3 linked regions of the Lepisosteus oculatus genome follow. The protein of the gene in region 3 interacts with the protein of the main gene of each other region in a biochemical or structural test. Links are inferred from orthologs where the notes say so. Each region holds a gene or a part of one and is shown on either strand. Other genes may lie near its edges. The genes, in order: mtor, ptpn1 and stat3.

Region 1 (7,259 bases), on a different chromosome or scaffold from region 3:
CAAAGCTCTTACCGCGGCGTGCCGTCGCCCCTCGTTCCTGTCCGCCCCCAGCCACTCCAGAGCCCTCTTGACCTCGAACTCCACGTACTCCGCAGTGAAGGTGTCCCCGGCCATCGACAGGTGGCCCATGGCCTTCGAGGCCATCTCCATGACCACCGGGTCACTGGAGGGCAGCAGGTTGCGGAGGTAGTTCGCAAATCGACTGATTCGCGTGGCATTTCCTCCTTCGACTCCAATCAGGCTCACTGTGTGAGGAAAACGGCACAGAAGCTCAGCACCGGCAGCCATTACGGAATAAGATGACCTGCGTTTCAGACAACACTGTTCGGTAGTGTCAGTATCGGGGTTTTCTTCATTCCTCGAGGAAACCTGGGGAACGGACACAGAAATCGCAGGACTGACTCACCAATGGCAAGGATGCCTCCTTTCTTCTCATTGACATCGGAGCTGGACACCAGCTCAAAGATATGATGGTTCAGCTCGTCATAGAAGGTGGTGGCCTCTTCTTGGCTGAGCTGGGAGAGACAGCGGCAACGAGAAAAGGGGCTGGGATTAACATTCCTGCGCTGGGCGAACCTTCAACAGTGCGCCACATCCGCCTCCACCATAGCAGCGCTGACTCGTTTGATCAATCAATTCTGTAAACCGCTAAGAAAACTGAAATCAAACCAGCAATAAATCAAATTCGACCCTCTTGGGTCCAAAGCACTTTCATTCCTCGAACAGGACTGAGACACGCACCACGCTGTGCTACACAGCACCCTGAGCCTCCCCCAGTGACGGGCAGGGGAAAGGGGCAGTGGGGACCCCACGGGTCTCCTCACCTCTCGCAGCTCGGTGGTGACGTAGTGCTGGAGGTCCTTGGCGGCTTTGGCCCGAGTCTCCTCACTGCGGCTCTTCAGGCCGCTGACGAACTGCTGCAGGACGGTGGCCGTTCCCGACATGATGGCCGCTGTCCAGCAGGGGGCGCCCACCTCCCCGTTCAACTGTATTAAAAAAAAAACAACACTCCTGGCAGCGGTTCAGGTGGGATTTTGGGGTTTTGTTTTTTGAAAAGGGGCAGAAAATGGAATTTTCTTCATCGACTGAAAACTAGAGGTATAGAACTGTCTTATTTACACTATATTGATATTTTCCCATAAGATGCTGTTTATATGCTGCTATGATTTCAAGGGAAATAACGGGAAAAATATGCACCAGAGCTATTTATGACCAATTCTCAGTTATCTCTATGTTGTCAAATGTGTAAAATGTTTGGAACTGCTCCTAGGAAAACAAAATGAGTCCCTTTGCACTGTGGTTGGATTATTTCTGGTTTTAAGAGTTGAAGATCTTCAAGAGACCGTGTCAATGCAGTGGAAAACGAAATACTTAAGATTATTTTGATTCCACATAAGAGGTCTAAGCGAGACAGACTGAAAATGACACAACAGGCATGAAGAAACTGGTACTGGCTTTTCTGCAGGTACTGGAAGCTTGGAAACCTGAAATGCTACAAAAACAATGGCAGCCTTGTTTCTCCCCAAAATATTTACAACGATTGTGGATTCCCTCACGACTCAAAAGATTGTCCCTGAGAACTGTTCTGACTGTGGTTGGCTTCTTTTAGTCAACACTATTATTCAGAACAAGAAAAAACTGATGTGATGTGCATAAATCCCAGGGAAGCTACACCTCATTTAATCACTGCCTTACAAGTATGAGAAAGCTGGGGGTCTTGTTTGATCCTGAGCTCTGTTTTGATACACACATAAAAGACACCTGAAAAGTCTCTTACTGTCACCTCAGACACGCTGGCTTTTCTTGACTGCACTGCTGCAGAAACCCTGATTCAAGCCTTCATCGCATCTCAGCTGGGTTAGTCTCCCTACCTGACTCCTAAACAAACTTCATCTGGTCCAAAACTCAGCTGCTTGACTTCTAACATGCTCAAAGGTGACCAATTCTGACACGTCTTCACTGAAGCCCCCGCTACCCAGCACTTTCAGTTCAAACTTTCACTGTTAACTTTTAAAGCCCTACGTGAAATACTCAACACCTCTCATTGCTCCCTGTGTACGGTACCAAACAGGGCTTCACACTCTGCTATAGCAGCACTTTTTACAGCTACAGGTCTTGAACTACCCTCTCAGATGCCCTGCTCAACAACTCTGGTGCTCACTCCCTGCCACTCTGACAGATGTAAACTCTTATACAGTTCCTGCTTAAAAATAGAAGAAAAGCAGATGACCATTTATAACACCTTTTGTGAGGAATTTAAGGAACCTGAGCAGAAGAGAGATACGTATCTGGGGTCCTCAAAGGGAGTCTTGGAACAACAAGTAATTGGCAGTTACAATTGGCAATCCAGTTCACTCTAGATAAAGTACATCCTTACTTTAGTCCAGTATTTACCACATCCATTACAGAAAAACTCAAGAAATAAACCTTAATAAAAGGGAAAAATATACGGTGCTTTTGACCCTCCAGGACAAAAGGCAGTGTGTAAATGCAATAAATGTCTTAACCATGCTTCCAGGTTTCCTCCCACAATCCAAAGACATAGCGGTGATTAATTGCTTTCTGGGAAACTCGGCCCTAGTGTGAGTGGGTGCCCTGCCATAGATTTTCGTCCCGTCCAGGGTGTACCCTGCCTTGTGCTTGCCGAGATGGGATTCAGCTCCCCCGCGACCCTGAACTGGACGAACCGGTTAAAAAATGGACGAATGAATTTGTATTGCTGCTGCACAGCCGGACCTCAGGCTCATAACCAAATCGCTGAAAAAAGACCCTGTTTGGTCCACTTTCTATATATACAGCAAGGGGAGAAGGTATTAAAAGCGGCATAACGTAATGATGAATCTAATTTGAATTAAAATGCCAATAAGTAAAGTAATAATTAATTTATATAGTAACATACTCTAAGATAGACGAAGTGGCTATATTACCTGAAGCGAGATTGCGACACTTTTAAAAAAATGCATCGATCGTCCTTAAAACTGTGTTACGAAAGGCTTCGGTGCACAACGTATTGCATGAATTAAAACGATATTAACGTTTTTGACAAAGTGGACGAATACAGTGTCCCTTAGCAAACCATGTCGTGCATTTTCTTAAATGATTCCTGTACTGAAGCAGCCTTCTTTGAAATACTGACATCGCATCATTAAATGCAAATAAACCAAGGCTCTGAGTATTAGGCTTAGTGCAATAAGCACAATTAACTGGCGTTTATTCAACAAAAAAACACCAAATTATTTTAATGATCCAAGCAAACGCATAATTTCAGTCAGGAAGAACAGTACTCACCAGTCTCAGATTATCACAACCTAATTTGGGAGGGCGACCCAAGACCTTGGAGAGATTTCTATTTTGACCAATGAAAATAAGAGAATTTGATGATTGACAACCACTCTACCCATTCAAAACACGCGAAAGTGATTGACTGGACCCGCTATCCAATGAAACGAAACATTGACTTGCAACAACTTCAGAAAAGGACCAATGTGAAAACGTTTGGCCTTTATTTACGAAATTGAGGATGCTGGTTTTTCATTTGTCGTGTGGGATAGTTTGGTTGGATGGCAACTGTTTAATATAAGCAAGAATCTTGTTTAAAAAAAAATAAAAAATCAAGACATCAGCGCTCATGCCATCGGAGACAATATGTAAAAGCGAAGCGGCAGCCGAAAATCCCAATGTTTAAATTGCATTTATTGCCCAACGACTGCAATAGCAACTTTTTGATCATTGGGAAAACAAAACATAGTAAAACCGAAATACATGTCGGATTTAAGATTGATTTAAGCGTGATCACAAGCGCTGAGCAATCTTTAGGGGACATATGTCCTTTTCTAGATAATTTATTTCCCCGGCATTGTTTTCAAAAGGAATAAAACCGCATCGTTGTTCTGCTAAAATAGGTGACCGAGACTAAGGGTACAGGATGGGTAGTCGGACACATTTCTCGGTTGCACAAGGGGCGGTGGAACAAGATGGCGCTGCCCAGGTGGAGGGCTTGCACGAAATATCCTCGTACTTGACACGTAGCGAAAATAAGATTAGTCCCCGTGTAACGGTTATAGAAGACGGAGAGGAAGAATGCTACTTTCAGCGCGTTAGAGAGACTAAACCCAGAAACAACAGGTACGTTGCGGGATATTTTATTTGTCGTGCCGGTGTACGCCGCATGCAGAGCGAGAACTTTAATACATGTAACGCCTAGTTTTAATTTTAGTCAAACACTTGTGCACAAATCTGTGCACAGATAACAATCTCCGTTTCATTTGTTTAGCTTTTGGAAGGTTAACCTGAAACTAAGTAGCTCAACTTTTTCCCCCCTCTCTCCAACGCACTCAGGAGTAGTTGTTTCACTTTCACACAACCTCATACAAAAGATAAGATTTTTCGTATTCAGTCAACATGTATGTCTTTGAAATACGCTTGTGTGTCCATGTCTTGTACAGTAGCTTAAATACAAATACGCCTTTGTTTTGCAAATAGTTTTCTCTGTTCGTTTGCTATTTTATTTTCTTCGGTAGGGGATATAGTAAAAGTGAACTTGATTGCATTGCTCATCCCAAAGTTAAGATTCCTGTACTGAAGCAGCCTTTTTTTAAATATTATTAAGAATAAGGATGTTGGGTGGCATTCTTTACTGACTTGCCTATACATATATTAATACTTCTCAAAGTAAGGTTTCTTAACTTCTATAGCAGAAAGTCATCAGAAACTAAAATGATTCTGAAACTTGGTTCACACCTTCCCCCTTTCTTTCAACGAAAGACTTGTTTTATTCTAAGTTTCTGTTCATTTGTAGGTTTCATTTTACACCTCTCCTCGCCTCTCTCGACCTCGCACCACTTGGTTTGCCACTCTGCCCCTCCCCTGCTCCTGCCACCTCCTCTCTCCTGGCTTGTGTTTTCCCAGGCTCTATTATCTTTGCTGCCTGCCCTGTCTTTCTTACACCTGAAGAAGGCTCCACAGCCGAAACGTTGTGTTTTCTTTCTTCTCTTTTCAGCGTGAAATAAACCTATTACTTGTCCCTATATATACATATTGAAATGGATACGCCTCTGTGCACAACAATGATCTTGGCCACCTGGGCTGAGGAAGGTCTTCTTTAGCTCAGCTGGCAAGACCCCTGTTGAGCGATGCCTTAGTCCCGGGTTCGTGCCCCTGCGGTGGAGGAATGAACTGGGGTGGGAGTGGCAAGGGCAGAAACCCGAAAACCCAAATCTGTTCCGATCTATTAAATTTGTATTCATGTGGATACAGTGGGCTAAAGTAGTTTAAATTGTTCAAGAATTTTTAAATCATATTAAAATGCATGCTTGTTCTCTAAAACTCGTTTTCTAATTGTATTTTTAGTGGTACACAACAAAATGTTTCCATTAGGAAGATTCTTTAAAGTATTACTTGCTCTTGCCAGTAATTTCTAAGTAGTGAAAATCTAAATTTGCCCAGAATTGGAGTGAAGAGGCAAGAAGTAAAGGGCAGTGTGTTTGGAGCTTGCTCATGTGATTTCTTTGCTTGTCCTTCCTCTGTCCCTGGGCTCTTTGTTTCAGGTGATCCCTACGTGTGATTATTTCCCGGCGGCGGTGTTCATCCTCGGGGTGCAGGGATGACGGAGGGGGAGAAACCCGGCTTTGCGTCAGAGACTTTTGTCCTGGCGGGACCGAACGGGCGGAGCGCAGGAGGAGGAGGGGATCCGGGGGAACATGTTTTTGTCCAGGACCACCAGGAGGAAAAACCCTGCAGCAGGACAAGTGACATGAAGCACAAATGCGCTGCTTACGTTCTGGCCCTGAGGCCGTGGAGCTTCAGTGCCTCTCTGACTCCGGTAGCTCTGGGCGGCGCCCTGGCCTACAAGTCCGAGGGCTCCCTTGACTTCGTGATCCTGCTGGTGAGCGCTGTGGCCGTCCTGGTGGTTCATGGAGCTGGAAACTTGGTGAACACTTACTATGACTTCTCCAAAGGGATTGACCACAAAAAGAGTGATGACCGGACACTGGTTGACCAGATTCTGGAGCCCCAGGATGTAGTCATGTTTGGAGCGGTTCTATACTCCCTGGGATGTTTGTGTGCAACTTGCCTGTATTTTCTGTCCACTCTGAAGCTGGAACACCTGGCTCTTATATATTTTGGAGGCCTGTCGAGCTCTTTCCTCTACACCGGAGGTGAATTACCCACAATTTGTCATGTAGCAATAGTGCATTTATGAGTTCCCTTTTGGGGGAAAAAAAACACTTTTATCCTCGTGATGTGGAATAGTGACTTGAAAAGATGTTGCTGCTTAAAAAATCTCGAGCTGTTTTTTTGGAAGTAGTTTTAAATTTGCCTTTATGGATGGTTTGGACCCTGTTATTTTATCCGTGGCTACAGGTGCGGCGCACGCTGTGCCTGCCTCGCCGTGCCACGTGTCCCCGCTGCTCCTGAGCGTTAACCCAGGTCTCAGCTCTTCCTTCTCCTCCGCAGGTATCGGGCTGAAGTACGTGGCCCTGGGCGACGTCGTGATCCTGATCACCTTCGGGCCGCTGGCCGTCATGTTCGCCCACGCCACGCAGGTGGGCTACCTCTCCGTCCTGCCCCTGCTCTACGCCATTCCGCTGGCCCTCAACACTGAAGCCATCCTGCACAGCAACAACACGCGGGACATGGACTCGGACCAGCAGGCGGGCATCGTGACGCTGGCCATTCTCCTCGGGCCCACGCTGTCTTACATGCTCTACAACCTGCTGCTCTTCATGCCCTACATCCTGTTCTCCATCCTCGCCACGCGCTGCACCATCAGCATGGCGCTGCCCCTGCTGACCCTGCCCATGGCCTTCCCCCTGGAGAAGCAGTTCAGGAGCCAGTGCTACTCCAAGATTCCCCAAAAGACTGCAAAGCTCAATCTCTTAATGGGACTCTTCTATGTCTTTGGTATTATATTGGCACCTCCAGGGAGCCTGCCAAAAGTGTAACCCCCACCCCAGCTCCATTGATTTTGATAAACGTGTTTTTTTTTATGTTGGTATTTTGTTATAGAGTTATTAAGATCAAGGGCTTTCATTTCATTAATTCAAATGAGTGCAGAGAAGGACGTGCAATTATTATAGATAGGACAAGTGTCTTGTTCTTTGCCCTTTTATCTCATTCAGGCTTGTTTGCTCTCCAAGCTGAAATGTTTTTTACTCCGTGGTGATTTTCTGCATATTGATCTTAATTGAAATATATGCAGATTACAGTGACTGATGGAATTTTTTACTCCGTTAACAAATATCTAGGTGTGCACTGCA
Region 2 (7,197 bases), on a different chromosome or scaffold from region 3:
ATGAAAAACTACCTTAGTCTTATAAACGACATGTTGAAAAAGAAAGTATAAACTGTTATCCCTGTTGTAAATATTTACCCCACAATGTTTCATTATTTAAAAATATTCAGCATCTGGTGAGTTTTTTTACCCAAATTGTGTTGATGATAATCTAGAACCAAACAGGAATGTTTTATGTTAAAAAAAGTCTGTTTTGTTAACATTTTCTGTTGAGGGGAAAACTGTTAGTAAACACTTTAGGAGATTGTAACACATTGTGCTATTCTCTGCATGTTAACCACTGATACATCCATAAAAGTAACTCTAAGCAGCTGTGAGAACTTGTAAATGATCGTTAAGTTTCCTTCAGTTGACATCCTAAAGATTTCTAGCATTAAAATTATATACATTCACATAAAAAGATGAACATGTGGGTCAAATGCACAGAAGATTTTTAAACTCACAGGAAAGTTGAGTGAATACATTTCAGGTCCTTTTCTATTGAACATTGTTCCTGTGCTGGACTAACGCAGATTGCAATGCAAGCTCTCATTTCCCGCCTGACCTTTACAGTGAACAGTGGTCTGTGCTCCAGACAAAGCTGGGAGAGATTTCCAAAGGTGACAGCGAGGAATCTTGGACAGGGAAGAGAACTGAAAGCCTATTGATCTCAGATTACAGCCAAGATTTAGGGAAGCTACTGGCATTTCTCCCTTTCCCTTAGACCTGTCTAAATCCATCCATTTCCTAACCACTTCTTCCAATATAGAGTCGCTGGGGAGCTGGAGCCTATCCCAGCAAGCAACACTCTGAACAGGACGCCAATCCATCTGAGGGCACGCACAGACACAGACACGCACACTCACACCCAGAGGCCTGTTACCAGTATGTTTTAAGCTGTGGGAGGAAACCAGAAACGCGGAGAGAACATACAAACTCCACACAGATAGCACTCCAGGTCCAGACATGAACCCAGAGCTCCCCAACACTGCTAACCACTGTGCTGCCACTGTCCACAACCATTCAAGAACATGTCAGAATTGCAAGTTTGATAAACTGACACTCTGTGCCCTGACTGCCAACTAATGAGTCCTGTCTTGGGCTCTTTCAGGTGCGGGTATGCACTATATGTGAGCACAATACCCTTTTCACAAACAGACATAACACACCTGCACAAGGCAATAGCAGGAGTTAGATGGCAGAAAGGCAGTGGAAGTCATTCACGCATGTCTTGATGTTTTACATGACCGCAATGCTAAAAGGTTTACAGATACTGCTCAGCGTCTTCTATAGTACAGTCCTGTGTTGTAAACGCTGCTTGAAGAGGAGCACCAATGCGTCATACTTTGAGGTTTTATTTCACACCTCCGCTTTTGTTAGCTTGATAAGGAGCAGGTAAAAAAAAAAATTCAGAACTGTTCCCTTGAGTTAAAATGATACTAGGAGCCCAGATAACAGGTGACGAATAATGATACTACTTTTCACTTTGTTGTACTGATTATTAAATTTGTAGTAAAAAAAACAAAACACTTTTGGCTAGTGACTCAAGTCCCGAGTGATGAATAAAATATTTTGGGTTTGGGCTAATACTTGCTTAGCAATTAACAGTCATTAGCCATTTCCTCTTTTCCGCATATCACAGAACAGGCTCGCATCAGAACGACTGATTGCACAATAAACCGATCTACATTATCAACGACTTGCAAAGCCTTCGAACCGCAAAGGGAACTATGATGCTCCAAATACACATGGCAATTTTTACATTTGGAAGTGGGGATCCTCAGTCTTAAGTTAACGAGTTATTAATACCGATATCTTCTGCTAGGGCCCCGGCGTGCTGTATGTGTAGTACAATACAGTTTTATTTCCTGAAACTGCCGCTACCGTTAACGTTAAAAAGTAAGGTCGAAATCGTGTTTTGGGGTGCAAAGAAACAACACTCGGAATAATCTTAAAACATAACATTACCGAAACAGAAGACTAATATAGTTTTTTACATATAGGTTGCCGACACCTTTCTAGGTTTGAAAACTAAATTATCGGAGTTTGTTTTACCCCCCCGCAGTGGGCGACTTTAATTTACATATTAAATTACATTTCTCAGAAAAAAGACACCGTGTCGCGCTGCAGTAAATTAAATTCAGGGAGTTCATGTAGAGAGGGGGTTTTCCGGCCACATTACAAATACATGTGTTGTGTCAGCGCAGCTCATCACAGCGTGCCTTGTTCAGCGCATGTATAAATAATGCTCATTTCCAGGTGTGAAAAGACCACTTACAATCTGACACACGTGTGTGAAAGCCAAGAAGTCACGTACTGTAGCGAAAGCAGTGTACTTCGTGGGCATGTGGACATCTTCCACGAACTCGAGCACATTGGAAAACTAAAGAAAATCACTTTTAAGCAGAGGGGAAGGGATTAAGCATTTTATCCTTTTAAATCGCGCGTTCTCCGAATCGACTACACGTCCAGTGGCAAAATCAGCAAATATCAGCCCTTTTCGGCTATCCACGTTGTCGTGGCTTCCCAGTTATTTAAAGTCTCTTCGCCTCCGGACCAACGTAGCTGGGGATCACCGTGTTAGTTGGACCAGTTCGCTCCGGCTAACGCGGCACATCCGAGATTACTTTGAGCTCCAAGCCAGCGCCAAAACCCGGGATATCCCCTCCTTCTTTAATCTATCGCGGCAGATTAGCAACGAGCCTGCTCGAATTACTCCTGTCGCTGCCTTCTACACCCCTATCGCTACCTCGGTTTGCCCCAACACCTACCTGGTAAATGGCGCTCCAGCTCCCGGACTCATCGATTTCCCGAAACTCGGCTTCCACTGCCGTGCTCATACCGCCCTCTCTCCCAGCTCCCTCCCGGTAAAAAACGATTAAATTGACAGCCGATGCCTAACTAATTACAAACCCCGATCGCTCCTTTTTCTTGTCCAGCATATAGATTTAATGTATTCTTTTCAGTTGTTTCCTGGCCTGTTCTAACCGGAAACACGCCGCTTGCGCCTCCCCGCACCGAGACTGTCCCTCCGCATTCACGGGACACGCCCACACCGCCGCTACATGGCCAATCGTGTCGCAGGAAGCGCGGAACTGTGAGTGGGGGAGCCAATCAGCGTTTCCCGGAGGGGCGGGGTTCCCAGCGGGCCAAACAGGAGGCGAGGAGTGAGGGCTCTAGTTTTTCTGGGACTTGTAGTTTATATATTAGAAACAATACGGATTTGCAGCTATAATTAATACTGTTGTAGCTGTCAAGTTGGTGGAAACATAACAGAAACGAAGATGATACTCCTAGGCCCTTACCGACGATCTTTAAGGTCTTGATAATATTGCAGGACACCGACATATTATATACAGCACTCGCATACTTTGTTTTATTAAAACACGTTGAGTATATATAGATACGTAGCATAGCGTATAGCGTAGACACCAAATGCTGTTAAAGTTCTTCAAAAATAAAAAAGTTAAAAGGTAGCAATATTTGACTACTCGGCTAATCCGGCAGTTGTCAACTCGTGCCTAATTCTTTACCCATCGTCTTTAAAATGTCCAGAAAGAATATTAGCTTTTATTAGGTTTTAATTATTTTGTGACACTGGATGGGTGTTTTTACCAGTTTTAAAAACATCCGTGCAGCCCAGACCACGTGACTGACTCCGACCCGCTGTGAGGGTTGTAGTATGCTGGTATGCTACTGTAGTAGGTTGTAGTATAAATAATGCCGAACTTCAATTTTTTTTTACAAAATATGTTCTCCTAAAGTAAAAATAACACTTAAAACAATTTCAGTTTCATTTTAATTAAAGTTAGTCTTTATTCGCTTTATAATGCGACACTACTACTACTGTTTCTGATCCGCATCCGATCATTCTAAAATCAAATTAGCATCGGTCTTGTTGGACCTGTTGTTGAGAATAATATTTGTAAACGTCTAGATTAAATCCAGTTTCCCGTCCCTCATTCGCTCGCTTAATGTTTAATCCCTTTCGCAACGATTAGAAAAAAATGAAACTCGTAAAAACAAAAGGATATTGCCTTAAGCAAAAGGGATTTGTCATCTATTTCAAACGTCCTTTTTCATGTTGATTTATGTCCCCTGGAGCAAAATGAACAGGCTTTTATAGTGTGTAATAATAAGAAAAGGGAAAATACCTTTAAAGATTCTACAATGAGGGATCTCATTTGTCAAAACTAGTCTGGTCCAGGCAGTTTATAATGAATAATATATATCATGCAGGCTTGTGACTCTCAGGTATGGAAAGTCTGGGACTTGAGCAAAGGCAGTCGACCGAGAAGAGTGCAACCTTTAGCAAGATGACATGACCTCCTGCAGACCCTCCAGCTCGATTGATTGAGCTGGAACCAGCTCCTTAATTATTGTATTGACAATCGTCAGGATCACTCAAGTAATTAAGGAGCCTGATTGCATCAAGCCCCGATTTAGCAAAATAGAGAGCAAATCTGGGGCAGTGGGATCAACATAGCTGAAATACTACCCAAATGTCCTCACGTAGACTCAAGTAAAATGGCAAAGGGAACCTTTTTAGAATGACTGAGGTCAAGTGGACCTGAAACATGAAGTGTGTAGTTTTTTTTTTACTTTGACCAATGTAAAATAAAGTTGCTTTCAATACCTTCTTTGGACAGTGTCAGATATGATATTTCCTGTTTTAACTTACAAAGATGAAAATTGCAGAAGGTACTATCATTTTTTAAAAAGCCAAATTGTTCCAAACGCGCAGTAATTTATTGCACATCTCAAGATTACAACATAAAGTGGCATTTACTTTATTGTAGAGAAAAAAAACAATTAGCCATTACATTGATATAAAAGTAGTCTTCATTTTAAAATGCTTATTATTCTCTGCAAAGAAATGCAATTGGTTAAAATGAGTTGCTCGTCTGCATGTTTTTTTTTTAATGAGTACAGCTACACATGCTATAAAATATATTGGAAGCAAAAGTGTGACGGGCTTGTTGCTGATGCTACTGTGCACAAACACAAAGCTCAGGCACAGTGCCACTGGATAAGGACGACATGACCCCCAACCATAAGGAAGGTCATTTTAAGGGAATGCACAACAGGTTTTCAGCACAGAAATGTGATATTAAATAAGGTTATAAACTTAACTTGGTTATTCGAATAATTGTGCACTGTGGATTAGTGAATCAATTAAATCTGGTAAGCACTACCTTCAGAGGTGACTACCAATAGATGTGCAAGCCATCAAAGATGCAAATGGTTGGAAAAGCTGACATAGTGCCCTCTGGTGTTTTATACTATGAACACATTCGTTTGTATATCAAATTGTATCTGTTAACAATGCATAGTTAACATAGTACAGGTGTTCAAAAAGGCCACATAATTTAAAATCTGCACAGCTCCATTAGAAGTCAGTTTACGGACTATACTTGCTTTTCAGAACCGTATCTAATGCCACAGAAAGGAATTTGTACACAGTAGTAAACTCCCAGTGCAAAATGCCTGCTGCATGGCACCACAGAGATGGATATGAAGTTCCCTCTTATCTGTGGAGTACTTAGTAATCTATTGGGCTGAAAAGCATTGTTTATATGCAAGACATTCTTGTTGAAAGTATTACACGTTGTTGATAATATCTCACCCAAACACCAGTTCATTCCTGTTCACTGGGATAAGTCTCTTCCAGTAACCATTATTTCTCCAAGACAAAACATTGTACCATCATAGTTTCCTTTAGGAAACAAAGAGCAATAACGATATTGCAGCAGTGGCAAAATACATTGGTATATTAAATCACGATCTTAACATGATGTCAAGTTCAGTTTTAATTATCTGGAAAACAGGAAAAGTAATACAAATGTGCCTGCTTGACCAGAACCACGATAACTCTCTTTACTGTGTGGAAGACACACAAACTGCCAGACTTTTATTTGATTCCCATATCTATATAATAATACATTATTCATGTAGTAAATGATTTACTGAAAAATGTGGCATGATGGTGCAGTGGGTAGCATTGCTGTTTCACAGCACTGGGTTCAATGCCAGATCCAAAGTGCTATCTGAGTGGAGTTTGCTTGTTCTCTCTCCATTTGTGCAAGATTGCTTGACTGCTATGGTTTCCTCCCACAATCCAGCAACATGCTGGTGGGTTAACTGGCTCCTGTAAAATAGGCTGAACCTGGTGTGAGTGTGTGCATGTTTGTGTAGGCTCTGCAACATATTTGCGTTCTGTGGATAGGCTCTCAGGATAGTAATTGATGAAACACAGCGGTGCTTTATCAATTTTTCTTGAACTCTGCTTTATCCTTAGTTACTCCTTATGAGTTAACTAATTTTAGAGACGTGGTTCCAATACTTCCTCCTGCTGTTCCACAGTGCTGTTCATTGATATAAGCCTATCTAGTTCTGCCTGGACTGAGAAACGGCGCAGCTAGGCTTCAGCACAAGCCAGACGCTGTTGTATCCTGCTCTGCCTATCGCACTCTGTCCGAATTCAGCAAGTGGACACATAAGCTGCCCACGTGCTCAGTGAATTTAGGAGGGTCCCACCTTCGAACTGGAAGCCAACGTGCTGGGCTCCTGTAGATGACACTTGGGATTTTCGCCGTGCAGATAATTTGATCCGACAGCCAGCATGAAAAGAAAAAAGCCTAAGCCGAAAGGCAAAGCAAATTTCTTCCCCTTTTCCTTATGATATGTATTTCTGTCACCATTGCAATTTGGAGGGAATAGATTGCAGTAAAATTGGATGTAAATTCGTAGCCTGAAGACTCACCTAGCCTAGTTCATCAATTTCTTTCTCAGTTTTAGAAAAAGTGCCTGTCAAAAACACAACCTGTATTTAGAAAGACAAAGAATCTAATCCCATCTTTAAATTTATTGCTATAATGCGTGTTTTCTCTTAACAATATGACGGTCTTAGAGGTGTTACTGCTTGAGTTCTCTATGGGGCAGTACAGTGGTAGCACTTAGAGCCCTACATTTACTACAAGACAATGCATGACTGAACCTGTAAAGTATTTCAAGATACGTTACTGTAATTATGCTGGAAGCCTAGAATAAGGATGATTAACATATTTGAGGAAGACATGCCAAAAATAAATTTTTATGTAACTCTTAGAATACACTTTCTCTGTGGCCTGTGTAAGATTTTAAATGACCATGCATACAAAACCAATAAGACTTTGAGCTTAAATAAAAAAATATAGGACAACCACCTTTCTCGAAAAC
Region 3 (6,913 bases):
CAAGATCTACCTCATCCTTGCAGAATGTTAGCAAGAAACCTTTTCCATGCATCTATTCACTCAGCTAACAGAGTGGGGCCCTTCTGCTTCAGCTGGCAAAATTCACTTTTAAAGCACTACTTAAGCACTCGGATAGTGGTGGAACAGCTGACAGGTTCAAACAAGGGTGCATTTAAGCACACAGTCCACTTCACCAAGGAGGCGTGGGAGTGGGAGAAGATGAGAGCTGAGAAGAAAGAGGAAGAGACAGGGATGCAGGGGCAATTGCAGGTGAAGTCATTGATAAACCACAGAATATTGAAAACAAAATGTCAGGCTGACGAAGACATTATGAAACACACCTCTAGTATAATCCTTTACTGATCCTTCACGGTGACGAGCTGAAAGGCAAAAAGACCAAGCCATCGCAACACCTGATTTTAAAATGCAGTCTAAGCCATCAAGCTCTGTAGCTCAGTCAAGTAGCACTTAAACGGGCATCACAAAAGAACAGCACATCTTTGAGAGTGTGCAGTGCTGAAGAGATGTTGAGTGGAATGCCCACACCAGAGCAAAGACCTCTGCATTTAGACCTCATCAATACAAGCAGCTTCCTGTGTAAGACAGCTTCGACAAAATAATGATCACATACTGATCAGCGAGTACTGGCCGCCCACCAGGCGGAGAGGAACCTTTATCAAGCCCTGCAGACTTCAACGAGCCCACTTTCTCCAAGCGTCTTCCATGCCTGATGCAGAGCGAGAGTGGAAAAGTGGAAATCTGGGAAAACTCAGACCATGCTTTATGCTAAAAGAGTGGGATCTGCGCAGACTCTAAGCCCAAGTCATTTCTTGAACGGCAAGTGGAAGTATCCCACCCCAACACACACACCCACTCACTATCACCCGTGTCAATGGACGACTCGTTGCTCAAGCACGGCAACGCTCACGAGTGGAGACTGGCCACCCTGCAGCACGGAGATCGGGTGCAAAGGACCCCCCCCCAGCTTTTCCAAACCTCCGCTACAGTTCCATTCTCTGGTAAAAGAAAAATTCTCGACCTTCAGCTACGTGCTTCAGGCTGCCAGAGAGGAAATTCCCAAGCCTGTCATGAAGCCTACTCGCGTGTACATCCACCCGAGCCGGCGAGCAGGTACCTGTGCTGATCACAGCGAGCTTAGGTGTAAGGCAGAGTTCCCCTTCCCAGCCACTTCAAAGGGCCGAACCTAGCACCTCATTTATCGAGCTACCACAACACATGCTCAGGCCGTGGAAACGAGCGCGTCTTTAAAGCTGAAGAACTGCGATCGATTTGCTCGTCTCAGCCTCCTCCAAAAATCAGAGCTGACCCAAAGCACCGTGAAACTACGCACACGGTTCAAAGGCGTCACCTCACCTCTGCAAAACATAAATCCGGTTTCTTACAGTTTGCAAGTACTAAAGAACGGGTATGGATCTCTAACCAACCAAAACACAGAAGACAAAGCCTTACCTAAACTATTTGGTTGCATAACCAAAAATAAACGTAGACGTTAAGTGACCGTCCTTTTATTTTTAGGGTTTTAGCAGGGGTGTCGAAATAATCAACAACCAGCCCTTTTGAACTCCTGGTGGATGAAGGAAAGTGAGTTTTTCTTAAGCATTAGTCATGATCTCACCTCCGTTCTGCGCGTAAAAATGAAAGCCAGAATTCCAAAACGTTTCTGAAGGTGTTACTTTGTAACTTTGATTACTAAAAAAAAATATATAGCCTTTTAATGTCATCGGAACCGTTCACCACAGCAAGCGAGAACGAAGCTCGATTTAGCCCAGCGAGGAAGTCGATCTGACACCGACTGTTCTCTTTCGCTGCAAAAGCATTGCGTAATGCTAACAGATGAATCACAAGTGAACAGAAAACTCTCCGACCTGTCGGACTGTTCTTTGAGCTCGCCTCTTCTCTACCAGGAAATGTGTTTAATATTTATCCACACACACACACAAGTGTTCGTGCAAAGAAAATCGTCAATGAAGCTAAACCCACTTCTGCAGACTTCCTCACGAAAAACACGGTTTTACGCGGACAACTTGAAAGATGAACTGAAACTTACCCTTTATCATTTCAAAAAAACATATATCTCATCATATTTCTTTTTTTCCCCCCAATCAGGGTGCCGGAACCCCATTCAGTTCCGGAATCTCTTCAACGCAGTTCTAGTATATGGTAATATAAAAACTCCCCGGGTCTTGGCACCGACTTGGCTGAATGCCGGTTACAGTACACACCATGACATGTGGAATGACTTCTCATTTATCGAGCCTTAAGGGGTTTTAAATTTCAAATGAGGGGGATCTTTACGGAGTAATTTTGAAAGTGGGCATTCACCCAGAACAGGCATTTCCATTGATGAGACTACAGACAGCTCATACCAGAACAAGCTCGCCAGGTGTGGGGGTTCACTCGTACGCGCAGGTAAGCGCTCAGAAACACGCCACTGTCGCCTTGCTGGGCTCACCTCCCTTGAAATTATCGCACTGCAGCCAGACACGGGGAAAATCAATAAAATCTCAATCGAGAGAGGGGGTGGGGACAAACACAAAAAAACGTGCTTTTTCAAATCAACGACGTTGGCCATTTCTTTCGCTTTCGCTCAGGTTTGGAAACGCGCATCCCCGGGTCTCTCGCCGAGCGGTCCGCTTTTTGCGCTTCTGTGTTTCTGACTCGTCTGGTGTGAGTCATGCAAAAGCGTGTGGCTTTTAAATCTTTACACATCCCTCATCTTCAATGCAGAAAACCCGTCATACGCGAAGCAGACCTTAATCCGAGATTACGGGTTTGTTGTTATAAACAAGGGTTTTTTTTTTAAAAAAAACTGGCCAAATCGTAACAATTACACAAGAGCCCCTTACCTGATTTCTCACTGGAGGTCCTCTTGAAAAATCAAGGTCCCGTAACTGTTTCCTCACAGAAATGCTAAAAGCGAGAATTAATCTTTTTATAAAGGACAGAATCAGTCTGAAGTGCTAACAGTTTGCCTTATTCCCTAACTTCGCTTTTCAGTTTTTCCTCTAACTTTCCCAAACTCGATGGCTGCTGAAAAATCGCTGTTGTTAAGTATTTCCTCTGCCAGCATTGGAGACAACCTAACCCCAGTAGCAGGAAACAGCTCCTTGGTCCAATAACCGTGGAGAATCCTTTCCTGTTACTTAATTATTCATAAAGGTGTAAATATCTCATCCAATCAGCACCTCCAAAAACCCAAAAGGGGGCGGGGACAGAAAGCCTAAGGTTAGACTGTGCGCGACATCGCAGTGTTTATAATTCACGCCCTCACCGCCGTTCTAGAATAAAATCTTACCTCCCTCTTGTGCTTCCGTCGAACTTCAAAAGAATCCCTTCTTTAAAAAGGCTGCAGCGGAGGGAAGGTGTAACAGTGCCTGGAACAGCGCGGCTGGAAATCATCTGAGTTACTGGCAGTGATTACGTCACATGCAGTTTAATAAGACAAATGAAAACTGGATTTTTAAGAGCATTGAGTGAGCTATTGCTAATGAAAGGAACTAAATAGCTAGAAAGCTATTAAATGAATCATCAAACATATATTTAGAAGGCAATGACAATTTACCTATCAGTCTTCTTTATTTCCTTTTCCTGTATTTCCCGTTGGTATGCTTTTTAATAAATGTCTCTAGTAAGAACTCCATATTCTATTCTAAACTCCACATTCTACGCATAATAGACGCCCTTTGATAATCAGATAGTCCGAAGTTTTTACTTTTCTGAACAGGCACAAACCAGAAGTGACACAGTGAAGGGTTATTTGAAGGAAGTTGAAGTTGAAGGAAGAGGAGGTGGGGGGGTGTCATTTTCCAGATGGATGTCTGCACTGCATGTACATTTGTACTGTTGGGGGGTATCCAGTCTTTTTGGTAGGGAGATGTCCTGCCTTCAGTTTTTCTGATTTTTCTCCTTAAGTTAACAGCAAAGTTTATCCGGAAAGCTGTGGGGTATTGTTAAAACAGTCCAGTTCACACAATAACAAGCTATTTCTGCTGCTCCCAGACTTATGTCATTTTAAGCAGCTGAAACTGTTGAAAAATGTCAGAGCAAGTGGTTTTCTATAAAAGCAGAAAGGCCATATAGAAGGGTTTGTAAGGTCCCTGGCAGTGTCCCCGCTGGGGTTCCCCTTGCTGTGTCAATCAAAGACCCCACAGGTTCCTTGGCGCTCTTGTGTGGTGGGAGGAATGAGTGGATGGGCAGAGGGGCGGAGCGGTGGCTCTGTGGCTCAGGATCTGTGCCTGTGACTGGAAGGTTGCCGGTTCGAATCCTGCAGCCGGCAGAGGAATCCTACTCCGTTGGGCCCCTGAGCAAGCCCCTTCACCCCAACTGCTCCAGGGGTGCTGTATAAATGTCTGACCCTGCGCTCTGACCCCCAGCTTCTCTCCCTGTCTGTGTGTCTCACGGAGAGCAAGTTGGGGTATGTGAAAAGACAAGTTCCTAATGCAAGAAAATTGTATAGGGCTAATAAAGCGATATTATTATTATTATTATTATTATTATTATTATTATTATTATTATTACAGTCAGTTGGCGTGCGGCCATCCTGTAAGGCAGTGTTGCTCACCCCTGGTCTGGTCTGGTCTGAGTTCCCATGACTTCATTCCAGATGGGAACCCAGTCTGCTGCCAACGGACGAAGTCATTGCCTTTCTACTCAATACATGTCCCTTCTATGTTGGGCTCTGGCATTGTGGGGGAGTTTTCCCTGGAGGATGGGGCATCACACTTCCTCCTCATGAAATGAGCAATTCAGCCAGGCAAACTATAGCACCTGCTGAAAACCCATGTGATCGTTGGAAAACATGCCAACTAAACACAGAAGGCATCCACGCCTATAGTCAAACCCAGGAATGTAGGATTACGAATGCCATGGGACCGGTAGATATATCACAACTGCAACCTACTGACGCCTGGCCAGTACCTGGATGGGAGACTTCCTGGGAAAGCTGAGGTTACTGCTGGAAGAGGTGTTAATGGGCCCAGTAGGGGGCACTCACCCTGCCATCTGTGTGGATCCTAATGCCCCAGTATAGTGATGGGGACACACAAAACTGGGGTCCTGACTCTCTGTCCTCATTAAAAATCCCGGGGTTTATCAATCATGGCCTCCTAATAATCCCGATCTAGGAATTGGCTTCATCACTCTGCTCTCCTCCCCAGTGAGAGCTGGTGTGTGGGGAGTGTACATGCTCACTCTGGCTGCTGTCACATCATCCAGGTAGGGCTGCACACTGGTGGTGGTGGAGGGGATCCCCATTACCTGTCCACAAAAGGGCTATATAAGCGTAACAATTATTCTTAAATATTCTGTTGGTTTGCACATACGAGCTGCTGTCTCCCAGCTGGCACTCCAAACTGACATGCCAAGTGAGATATGACATGTACTGTACACATAGATACTGTAGAAATACCTTGCGTGTGGACTTACATCACAGACGTCCAGTTCTGACAGTGCGGGTGCTTTGATTTCCCAAACATTGCTTGTTCAAGATTTGTTTTATTTAGCCCCAGTCAACCAAAACAGAAAAAAACAAAAGCAAAGGGATTTAAGTTACAGTTTTCATCTGAAAGAATTCAGCCTTGACACACGGTGCATTTCCTCTAAGGAAGGAGTAGCTTAAATGAAACAATGGCGGTTATGGTGGGCAACCTGTGAAACAAACTCCCACAGTGTCTATCAAAGTTTCCATTCGCACCATCAGAGGTGCCACGCTATTTAATATCAAATTTATTCATGAACCATATATATTTCTCTCACTTTAGATATAAAAAACGAGTGCTTTGCTAACCAAAGGCTATAGCCAGTTTGAAGGCAAAAATAGGTTTTTGTGAACCAGCTTTAAACCAGGCTGACCAAACAGTAAGTGCTGGTAGGATCTGTGTTATATAATCTCAGGAAACAGACGGATTAAAACAGATGAATTCCCAGAATAAAATTAATACTTTCTCTTTCAAATGATCTGACTTTGTTTTACTGTTTATGAAAGCATTTACAGTAGGACACAGTGTGAAATCTGCTTCACCCCTTTCTACTTTTTCATTCTGTCTGGTTTCAACAAGCAGGAGAAGAAGAAGTGTAAAATATTGCCAGTTTGTCTCAGGTGAAACGAAGTCTGAGGTCTGGTTTTTGTGCCCAGCTGCGGGTGAGTGATTTCGTGTCTTCTGTTACCATAGTGATGAGCAGCTGCTTCTCTCCGGACTTAGAAGCTAACCAACAAGCGCTACAAGAATCAGCAGGTTTCCTATTCAGACTTGGCAACAGCATCGCAATACAAATGGCATTCCAGTAAAGCTAATCAAAAGATCGGCTGTCAGATTGTGTCCTGTTTAAAAGCAGTTACCTCCCTTTGGCATTGTGTTCTCACTTCCTTACTGCAAACAGGCCTCTGTTAAGGATCGGCCTTTTAAACGGATGTATTGTTTATGACTTTCAAATGGTGATGCATGTGACTAACTAGACTATGACGTGACACTCTGTGCACAGGTACACTTAAAATTCAAAGCCGTTCCATATGTGACGTTCTGTGTTGTAACTCACTTTGACGCCTAACTACAGCTTAGACTGCAATGACGAAGATAACTTTAGACTCTTTCAAACAATTCAAGGTTGAACTCCTTCGCAGACCTCAGAAGATGAGTCAACAAAAACTCAATTCAATCAAGGGTCTGTAGCATTAATCAAAACTGAGAATATGTGCTACATCTACATCTACAGTGCAGTTTAAGCCCCTGTTACAGTGGTAGCTGTTTAAACATTTGGGGTGACTGGTGAGGCTGGGAAAGACTTGTCTGGAAAAGGACAGTAGTGTCTTCATTAAGAACTGGAGCCCATTATATTCTGGGCCCCAGGCCCTAGTCACTGTGTCAGTTTCAGGCAGTCCTCAAGAGCAGCTCTA

Evidence for each region.
Region 1: the proteins of stat3 (region 3) and mtor form a complex in vitro, tested with the Homo sapiens proteins (2 studies listed by BioGRID, with this or other methods). The link is inferred for Lepisosteus oculatus from reciprocal best matches to the Homo sapiens genes STAT3 and MTOR.
Region 2: of the proteins of stat3 (region 3) and ptpn1, one has a biochemical effect on the other in vitro, tested with the Homo sapiens proteins (2 studies listed by BioGRID and IntAct). The link is inferred for Lepisosteus oculatus from reciprocal best matches to the Homo sapiens genes STAT3 and PTPN1.

Annotation. Positions count from the first base shown.
Region 1 is NC_090720.1:2,864,104-2,871,362, forward strand, and holds the start of mtor (serine/threonine-protein kinase mTOR), read right to left. Parts: upstream 3,022-7,259; 5' UTR 2,964-3,021; coding exon 2,928-2,963; intron 987-2,927; coding exon 825-986; intron 516-824; coding exon 407-515; intron 246-406; coding exon 13-245; intron 1-12. Other genes in the region: ubiad1 (ubiA prenyltransferase domain-containing protein 1), read left to right, coding at 5,603-6,158, 6,457-6,944. UniProt on the Homo sapiens protein: Serine/threonine protein kinase which is a central regulator of cellular metabolism, growth and survival in response to hormones, growth factors, nutrients, energy and stress signals.
Region 2 is NC_090711.1:12,094,940-12,102,136, reverse strand, and holds the start of ptpn1 (tyrosine-protein phosphatase non-receptor type 1), read right to left. Parts: upstream 3,015-7,197; 5' UTR 2,820-3,014; coding exon 2,751-2,819; intron 1-2,750. UniProt on the Homo sapiens protein: Tyrosine-protein phosphatase which acts as a regulator of endoplasmic reticulum unfolded protein response. Mediates dephosphorylation of EIF2AK3/PERK; inactivating the protein kinase activity of EIF2AK3/PERK.
Region 3 is NC_090723.1:4,842,209-4,849,121, reverse strand, and holds the start of stat3 (signal transducer and activator of transcription 3), read right to left. Parts: upstream 3,110-6,913; 5' UTR 2,868-3,109; intron 2,431-2,867; exon of another isoform or gene 2,242-2,430; intron 1,753-2,241; exon of another isoform or gene 1,637-1,752; intron 1-1,636. UniProt on the Homo sapiens protein: Signal transducer and transcription activator that mediates cellular responses to interleukins, KITLG/SCF, LEP and other growth factors. Once activated, recruits coactivators, such as NCOA1 or MED1, to the promoter region of the target gene.